Caenorhabditis elegans: one gene and its partner. The protein of the gene in region 1 purifies or fractionates together with the protein of each later gene. This does not show direct contact. Each region holds a gene or a part of one and is shown in the gene's direction. Other genes may lie near its edges. The genes, in order: lpd-3 and Y23H5B.8.

Region 1 (4,989 bases):
CATCAAGCATTGAAGTTCCCCGTGGAATTGTACGCGAGAGGGACACTGAAAATTTGGAGAAATGTTAATTTTTCTCTAACTTGTATCGCTTCTTCTCGAGGTCACGGCCTCGCCCCAAAAATAGACGGAACTTCGCTGCGAGACCCAAACAAATTTTTGCGAATACTAACTTTTAAGCTTCGGGTGCAAATCCCTTCCGGCCATCTCGTCCACCGCGATTTTCAGTTTTTCAGCAATTTGACGAAGTCTCAAATCATACTGAAAATCATGAATTTTTGTATGGGTTCTAGCTCTGAACACTTACCCTTCCAAAGATTAGGTAAAAATTGAAGAGGGCAAAGATAAGATTGAACAATGAAATTGTCATGTTGAAAATGCCTCCAATTGCCAAAATGCTAAAAAGATTTTAATTATTTAATTAATTAATTAAATTTAGTTTCTAGCAACAAAATCTAAGAAGAAAATCTCACTTAAATCGATATGCCATTGAATATTCCGTCACATTAATCGAGAAGGCTTGCATTTTTGCTAAAAGAGAGCTTGATTAATGTTTTGGAATGTTGGCACCGGAATTTGAAATTCTACGATTTTTGCCCTAAAATTACGGTACGCGGTCTCGAAACGAAAAGTTGAAAGAGTACTGTAATTCCTCTGCAGCATTTTCATCAAATTTTACACGATTTTTTCGATTAAAAATCAATAAAAATACCACAGCAACAAAGTACCGGAAATTACTGTATTACGTACATAGTCACGCGGTACCAGGCTGTCCCGTTACGGTTTGATCTACAAAAAATGCGGGATTTTTTATGCCCAAAATTATGTGGCTTCAGCACGTTCTTGACCATACGAAATCAGTTGAGAACTCTGCGTCTCTTCTCCCGCATTTTCTGTAGATCTACGTAGATCAAGACACTCTGACACCACGTGCGTAGTCGAAAATCAGCCACACTGGACGCACAAGGTCCTACGACGAATATATAACTACGCTGCGAGACCTTGCTTGGCGAAATTTCTCATTTTTTGACGACTATGTAATAAGCTTTTACATGGAAAGCAAAGTAAACTGAATACCGTATTAAGAAGGCGATCGCAAATCTCCTTAATTCAAGAATTTTGCAATTAAATTCAAATTTACCATTTCCGGGAACAATGAAGCCAAGTTGAATGATGACTAGGATTTGTGCACACTTGATTATGTTGCGATCGATCATACTTCACTCACTTCTTGAAGAATTCAATAACAAGAACTGAATAATTTCATTGAAATTTGGGGAAAAACCGAAAGTGGAACACGTTTTTCCAGAAAAATTGTTGAGTTTAGAAGGTCACGGAGAACTGAATCGATAAATTTTTTAAATTTAACGTTTTATTTATTGAGTATTTTTGTTTATCTCCATTAAAATTCACTTTTTGCTCTTAAAATAATCTTTAAAAAATGCACAAAACCTGTGTGAAAGTTGAAAATTGACTAATTTTCGCACTTTTTCAATTGTTTTAACAAAAATAATATCGATTTTCAGATAAAACAAATAATTGTCTATATTTTATCATTTAATTTCACTTCAAAACATTGGGAAAACAATCTAAACTGACTCTTTTTGTAAAATTACTGATTTGAATCCCCGCCAATTGGAAAAGTGCGATGGGGCGCGTTTTCCTCCCATTTTCAGCAGTGTTGATTTTTGTTTATTTTTCATTTTTTATGCTGATAATGTTGTTATTTTATTATTTTTTCGCGAATTTTAATGTTTTTCTGCTATTTTTCTCCGCATTTTCTCCCAAAAAAAAAAATGTGTTTTTCATTTTTCAGTTAATGTCAGTCGGCTACTACGGGTTCTAGGCGGCGGCGAAAACGAAAAAAAATGTCGGATTTCGATATTCAAATCAAAATCGACGATGCTCAGCTCGATTTAAAAGGAGTTTCATTCTGGGTCACGGCTTCTGTCGTCACACTTTTCCTGGCGTGGAGCACGTTTGTCGTATTGTTTTTCTCGCGAGTCAGCGCACTCTTTTTCACTTTTGTTATAGATAAGTGAGTAAAACTGAAGGTTTTTTGCTTGAAAATGGATTAATTTCGCAAGGAGACTTCTTAGAAATTGCTCAATAAATTTTTATGGCGATTTAAAATTTCGAAAGTTGAAAAAATTGGCTAATTTTAGCTAAAACTCTCCAATTTCGCAAGTTTTCCGTTTCCCAGCGGTCGGAAATTAATTTTTATTCGATTATTCTCCTCTTTGATCGCTTATTTCTCGTTATTCGTTGATTTAGGTACATTTTAAGCTTTAATTATACCTAAATCAACGAAATAACATGAGATAAGCATCCAAAGAGTATAATAATCGAATAAAAATTAATTTCCGGCCACTGAGAAACGGAAAAACTTGCGAAATTTTAGCTAAAAAGATTTTTGCTAAAATCAGGTTTTTTTCCAAAATTTTGAAATTTTGAACCGCCATAAAATATTAAGATATTTTTGATGCAATTTTTAAGAAGTTTTATTGCGAAATTAATTTATTTGGGCACTATAAAAGAAAAATCCAACAAAACTGGCGGTAAAAATCGAAAAAAAAAATCATTTTTCAGATATTTGCGATTATCAAAAAATGGAATCCATTTCAAAATCGGTGGTATTTCGATCTCAGGCTTGCACGCCGGCAAAATAATGTTTCGAAACGTAATTTATGATAATGGAGATATGACGATCAAAGTTAACGATGGACATTTATTATTCAAATATTGGAAATCTGTGGAACATCGACATTTGAATCTTTCAACGTTCGTTATTCCCCTAGATTTTGCGATTTTACAACGAAAAAGTCGATTTTTTCGAAAAAACTACGGTTCCTCGACACGACAAATTTTGGCTAAATGCCGAAAGGTGTGTGCCTATAAAGGGTACTGTAATTTCAATTTTATCGACTTTTTATAGTTTTTTAGTTATTACAATTATTATTAATTTGAAAAAACCAACAACAAAAAAATCGTGAAAAAAACTATTTACGAAGACATCTAAAGGTGAGAATTTTCGCCATATCTTACGCTAATGGGTCTCGCCACGCTGAAAACGAGTTACTGTAGCTTGGGTCGATTCATGGTCCGATAATGCATAATATTTTCAATTTAGTTTGATGAATATTATTCAATAGCGGCCCATAAAGCTACAGTAGCCAATTTTCAGCGTGGCGAGACCCATTCTCGTATGATATGGCGAAAAACTCATCTGTAGATGTCTCCGTAATAGTTTTTCTCACGATTTGTTGAAATTTATGTATTTTTATCGATTTCTTATGTTTTCTAAAAATAAATCATAAATTTTTATCGAAAAACTATGAAAAATCTATGAAAATTCCACGAAATTGAAGTTACAGTAATCTTTAAAGGCGCACACCTTTTCGCATTCAGCCAAAATTTGTCGTGTCGAGACCGGGCGCAAAAGTGGCAGAATTTATTTGTTAAAAATTTGCAAAAAATGCCAAAACTTTCTCAAATTTTGTTTTCAAAAATTTTATTTTTTTTTTGCAAAAAAATCCAATTTTTCGCTAAAAAAAATCCTATAAAATTCCAGAAAACGAGCTTCCCGATTACATCTTGTGCTCAACGGATTACACGTTAATATCTACAATAATCTGACAAAATACACGGAAATCGCGAGAATTCGGAGATTTGATTGGTTTTTCGAGAATACGAATATGAACGATGCACGGCGGCCTCAGACGAAGCCTCCTGACACGTAATATTATCGAATTTTCGTGCAGATATTTCTAAGCCAATGTTCAGTTGTAGATCACCTCCGTCGTCTGTATGGGAGAATATGTGGAATCTATTGGGTATTGTACATATTGAAGTGTCTGCTGGATGCATTCTTGTCGGAAATAAATTCCTACCCTATGCTCTATGGACACGATTTGAGAATTTGAATAGTGAGGTTTTAAAAAAATAATTTAAAAAAAAACTACGATACCCGGTCTCGAAACGAAAAATTCCTTGAAATGCGAAAAGGTGTGCGCCTTTAACGAGTACGGAAAACACCGAATTTCGTAATGAGAAGTTCTGAAAATTTCTCAAAAAAAAGTTATGGCGGCTCAAAAAATGGCCTAAAATTAGTTAAAATTTGAAATTTGACCTACTTGTCAAGCGGCTAGAAACTAACTTTTTTGAAATCACCGTCAAATTTTGAGTATACAATGTAATTATCCTGCGTTTTCAACTCAATTTAGGTATTTTAAAGTCGATGGACGGCGAGATTTTCAATTTTTTTAACCACATCTCGCGGTCCATCGTATTTAAAATACCTAAATCGAGTTGAAAAACCAAGATAATTGACGTGAATACTCAAAATTTGACGGTGATTTCAAAAAAAAAATTAGTTTCCAGCCGCTTGACAAGTCGGTCAAATTTCAAATTTTAACTAATTTTAGGCCATATTTTGAGCCGTCATAACCTTTTCTTGAGAAGTTTTCAAAAAGTTTCATTATGAAATTCGGTGTTTTCGGGCTATTTTAAGTCTAATAATGCAATTAAAAATTCGACCACACCAGCTGTAAATAGTCAAAATTCGAATTTTATTATACAGGCCCGAAATTTTGCTCCGAAACTACGATACGATACTGGGTCTCGAAACGAAAAATAATTCTTGTAAAATGCGAAAAGGTGTGCGCCTTTAACGAGTTCTGTAGTTTTAATTTCGCAGAATTTTTTAAAACGATTTTCATTTTTTTTTTACTGCAAACATTAAAAAAAAAACTCGAATGATGAATTAAAATTGAAAAAAAAAATTCTGAAAATTCAATTATGAAAAATGTGCAAAATTAGCCAAAAAGTCGTGAAATTTTTTTGATATCCTTAGTTTTCTCGCAAAAAGGTGTTTTAAGAGTTGAAAATAGATCCTAAACATAAAGAAAACCCACAAAAATTGCAAAATGACCCGAAAAAATGATTTTCAACAGGTTAAAAAATTTTAAAGCTACATTTTGACCTTTATAAACC
Region 2 (4,535 bases), 1.1 Mb from region 1:
TGGAGTCTTCGCTTCATCCTCGACTGGCGGCTCTTCCGGCTTCTTCTCGACTTCTGGCTTCTCGCTAGACGCTTTCTTCGATCTTTGTGATCCCTCCTTCTTCGATCTTGCAGATCTCTGCGATCACTCCTTCTGAAACAAAAGAGCTTCGTAAATATACACTGTACTCCGTAAATCTACACAAACCTTCTTCTTCTCGGACTTCTGCTCCTTCTTGAGTCGAGCCGATCTCTGCGATCCTTCCTTTGCCTTCTCCGCCGATTTTGCAGGCACTCCACTCTTGGCCGGTGGTGCCGGAGCGGCAGAATTGCTCTGAAAAGATGGTTGTTACAGTGGCCGAGAAATAACTCTTCCACTCACCTTAATCTTCTTTTGTCGTTTCGAGTTTTGTTGTCTCTTCGAGTTTTGCTTCTTGTCTCGTTTTGATCGTTTCGATCGCTTTGATCTCGCCGATTTTCCTTTGCCACCACGCGAATTCTCACGATGTCCGGTGGTACAGCCGACGGCAATGATCGCTCCAGAAATTGACGCAGCAGCAGCGAAACACACTGAAAAACAAGGAAATTGAGATAAATTGATATTTCCGGCACTTTTGGCAATCGATAATTACCGGCAACTGTCGCCATTGCCTTTAACTATTACGAACCGGCAAAATTGGATTTATCGGCGCTTAGCGGCAACTATTGTTAATTGCCGGCGACTATCAGTAATCAATAAAATTAGAGTTTCATTGCCGGCGGTCAGCGGTGACTATCGTTAATCGAAAAAAAAATCCATTTGTTACAAGTAATGGCTGCTGCCGGCCACTATCGGCAACCGCCGGCGACTACCGGCAATCAATAAAATCGGAGTTATTGAAGATTGTCAGCAACCATTATGACACTTATTGATTTTTGTAGACACGCCGGCAACAGAAGCGGCAATGCTCCGACAACATCCTCGGCGATCGCTCAGCAACCATCGGCAACTTTTCCTAAACTCACGGTAATTCATGGCACCATGGAGGTGCTCCATATCCAAGCTCATTGTGAAGAGTCGAAATTTCGAAATAATTGATTTTTCGCCGAACAAGATTTGTGGTCCCGTGAGTTGAGATTTGATTATTTGATAAGAAAGGTCAGCACGGTCATTGACATTTTTTTAATTTTAATTTTTTTCTTTTTAATATTTTTGAAAAATAAATTTTAAGTAAAATTTTAGATAATTTTTACAGTGGTCTCTTGTTGATCTCGGCTGGAAGAGGAGTGACGTCACAGATGGCCTAAGAAAATGTGGTGTGACCAAGTTTTCCGCCAATTTCTGTTTCAGAAATTTGTTTAAAAATTTTTTTTCTAATTCAACACTAATTTCTCCTCAGAAAATTCAATTTTTCCGCCAAAAAAAAAGTTTCCCAGAAAATTTGAATTTCTCGTCAAGTTTTTTTAAATCAAAAATTTGAATTACCCGCAAATGTTTTTCTTTAAAGATTTCAAGCTCCCGCAAAAAAATTTCTGAGAAAATTAAAATTTTTCGTCAATTTTTGTTCAAAAAAATTGAATTTACTCGCCAAAATTTTTGTTTCAGAAAATTTGAATTCCCTCCCATTAACTCAAACAATTTGAAATTCCCGCCAATATTTGCCACAGAAGATTTAAATTTTCCACCAAATTCCGTTGTTTCAAATTTTAATTCCCCACTAACTTTTGCTCAGAAATTTTGAATTTTTCTGAAAAAAATTTGAACAAATTTGGCATATCCCTTTAAAAAATATAGATGGCAGATAAAAAACTACAAAAAAAATTTAAGTCGATTTTCCCCATCTCTCCATTGGAAAAATCGATATTTCTATACCTAATAAATATGAATCCGTTGACCTCAAAATATTTGTTTTCCCGACTTCAGAGACTATCTCCCGGGAAGATATATCTTCACGGAGACGAGGGATATATCTTTCGATAGGTCATTTCTTCTTCTTCTGCTATTCAATTGTTATTATTCAATATTTATACACCGAAATGGCCAAAATTCTCTTGTTCCTTCTCTCGACTTTCTTCGTTTTTTCCATTGTCTCCGGGCAACAAACAAACTATGAAAATTGTCTCACGAAGCTCAACAAAATGAAGAATATTTTGAATAATTTGAAGCTGGAAACTACGAAACACGGCAAAAATGTGAAAATTGGTAATTTGGAAACATTTTATCATATGTGCATTGACACAACGGTTAGTTTTATTTTTTTCAGCAAAAATTTGAAAAATAGAGTTTCGAAAAATATTGAATTTTCAACAAAAAATTTCTGCAAAAGTAGTAGGTGGCCTAGAAATTCTGCGGCCACCGATTTCCAATTTTTCTCAAATGTAGTTTGTGAACATTAAATTCGTTTCAAATAATGCCAAAAAAAATTCCATGGGAGGCAGGCGCGGTTTCAGGGCCTGCCTTCATCCTGCCCGCCTCAGCCTCTGGCCTCTCAACATTTTTCTACACAATGGCGAGAAGGAATATTTAGCACATTGGCAAATTGCCGGTTTGCCGATTTGCCGGAAGTTTTTAAAGGGATTTTTTCATAAGACGGAAACACTTAAAACTGTGCTTTTTTGAAAATTTTCCCGTTTTCTTTAAATATTTTCATAGAATCTGCTCACTTTTCAAAATATATGTAGGAAAATTTATAAGGTACGTACAAATCTGCCGATTGAAATTGAAATTCTGAAATTTCCTTTAAAAAATTGTGCAAAAGCACAATTTGCCCAAAATTTTCGGCAATCTGCCAATTTACCAATTTCCGGAAAAATGGTTTGGTCGCCACAAGGCGGGCGAGGTAGGCTTCTCTGCGCCTGCGTGGAAGCCTACTGGATAGAGCTTCTGTGATCACAACCAAGAAGTGGGCGGAACGAAAGGCCACGCCCGTTTAACGGCTCCCAAAAAAATTATGAGCATCAGAGGCCACGCCCAAAATTTGGTACATCACTTTTAGTTTTTTTTTGATATTTAAAAAATTAAAAGTTTTCAGAACTGCGTAGAATCAATGGAAATCCCAGAGCTACTAAAAAGTATTTTGAGATTCGGAACAATGTTCATGAGATCCGCCTGTGAAGACTTGGGCTTAAAAGTCGGACCATTCAGTAAATGCATGGAAAAGGTACCTACAAGCTTCTCCGAAAAAGATCCTCTAGAACATTTTATTTCAGACAAAATTCGACGTAACTACTCTGAAAAACACGACGATTGGAGAGGATAAACCAAAGTGCTGGTTGACACCTGACGAGTTTTCAGAGCTTCAACGGGTTGTTCAAGAGCAATGCGGAGATGAAGCATGGGAGGATATGTTGAAGAATGAGGATAAGGTCAAAGTGATGACTTGTGAAAATCAGCCATAATGTATCCAAACGACATTCCGATTCGCGGGGGTTGATCCCCTTTTTATCAAATGAAAAGCACCTATATTGTGTTCATTGTTTTTTTTAACCTTATTTTAACTTTAACCGGGAAACGAAGCCCAACTCAGGATATGGGCGGACTCTCTGTATTTTTCGATGTATCGATTTCCTTTGTTTGGATTTCCGGGATCTTGGTTGAAATTATAAATGACCAGGACATTAAGAAAACATTGGCCATAACGATTTATTTTATTTTTAAAATTCTAACAAACTATCATAAAACTGTCTCTGTTATTTATTATAGTTATTTATTATTTATTTATTATTTATTTATTTATTATATTTATATATTTATTCCACAAATTCAATATGCGAAAAACGAACGAAACCCTGTGTGCCACTAGGTAGGCGTCTGCGCACATTCTGCGCCGATTAATTTCTTTTCTATTTATCGGAAAGTGCGCAGACGGCGTCAAAAAGTGGGGCTGGAGACCAGCCACAGCCCCAAAAGGAGCTCAGCCCCACTGTAGGGGCTAGCTAATAGTGCATCTTTATGTTTTAAATAAAAAGTGCATTCAAAATTTGCGATACATCCATTTTGAGATAGTTTGTGAGCTGATAGCTTGTTTTTAACGATATATGAAAAATTGGTCATTTTTTTCTGCGGCCGACTTGTTGAGATGCTTGCAGAGATTATCTCTAAAATGTTGAGAAGTAGGAAAAAGTTGTCATCTGGTCAACATTTAGTTAGTTGATAGCACAAAATTGCATTATATAAAAGTTTCAAAATTGCCTTCATTCTTCAAACATCTTCATTTCGAATTAGGATTACCTGAAATTTTGATTTTCAAGCTATTACTAGAATTATTTGAAGGCTTGTAGATCCTGTTGCATCCAAAATATTCACGAATAAAATTCTCATTATCCAGCATTTCTTTGACGGCACGGGGGCCGCATATATTTTCTATTGGCATTGTCTTGCATTCATTGTCAGCCTCGAAATACTCGCATGTTGGAAGTTGTGCCTAAAAATCATATATTTGTAATGCAAATGCGCTCCACAGCACGCAAAATTCAAACTTATGTAAAAAAGAAATCTTACCGCATTATTCCAATGGCTTAAGCACGGCCACTCCATTAATGTGATGGCATTTTGAATCTGAATTTTTTTTCAGTTTT

What was found.
Region 2: the proteins of lpd-3 (region 1) and Y23H5B.8 fractionate together in Caenorhabditis elegans (co-fractionation; one large-scale study listed by BioGRID). This does not show direct contact.

Annotation. Positions count from the first base shown.
Region 1 is NC_003279.8:3,597,554-3,602,542, reverse strand, and holds the start of lpd-3 (Bridge-like lipid transfer protein family member 1 C-terminal domain-containing protein), read left to right. Parts: upstream 1-1,813; 5' UTR 1,814-1,865; coding exon 1,866-2,035; intron 2,036-2,586; coding exon 2,587-2,778; intron 2,779-3,568; coding exon 3,569-3,733; intron 3,734-3,780; coding exon 3,781-3,923; intron 3,924-4,989. Other genes in the region: Y47G6A.3 (uncharacterized protein), read right to left, coding at 1-45, 171-258, 305-395, 471-528, 1,139-1,214.
Region 2 is NC_003279.8:2,545,787-2,550,321, reverse strand, and holds Y23H5B.8 (T20D4.11-like domain-containing protein), read left to right. Parts: upstream 1-1,922; 5' UTR 1,923-1,994; coding exon 1,995-2,201; intron 2,202-2,989; coding exon 2,990-3,118; intron 3,119-3,167; coding exon 3,168-3,356; 3' UTR 3,357-3,936; downstream 3,937-4,535. Other genes in the region: Y23H5B.3 (T20D4.11-like domain-containing protein), read right to left, coding at 4,169-4,381, 4,459-4,515.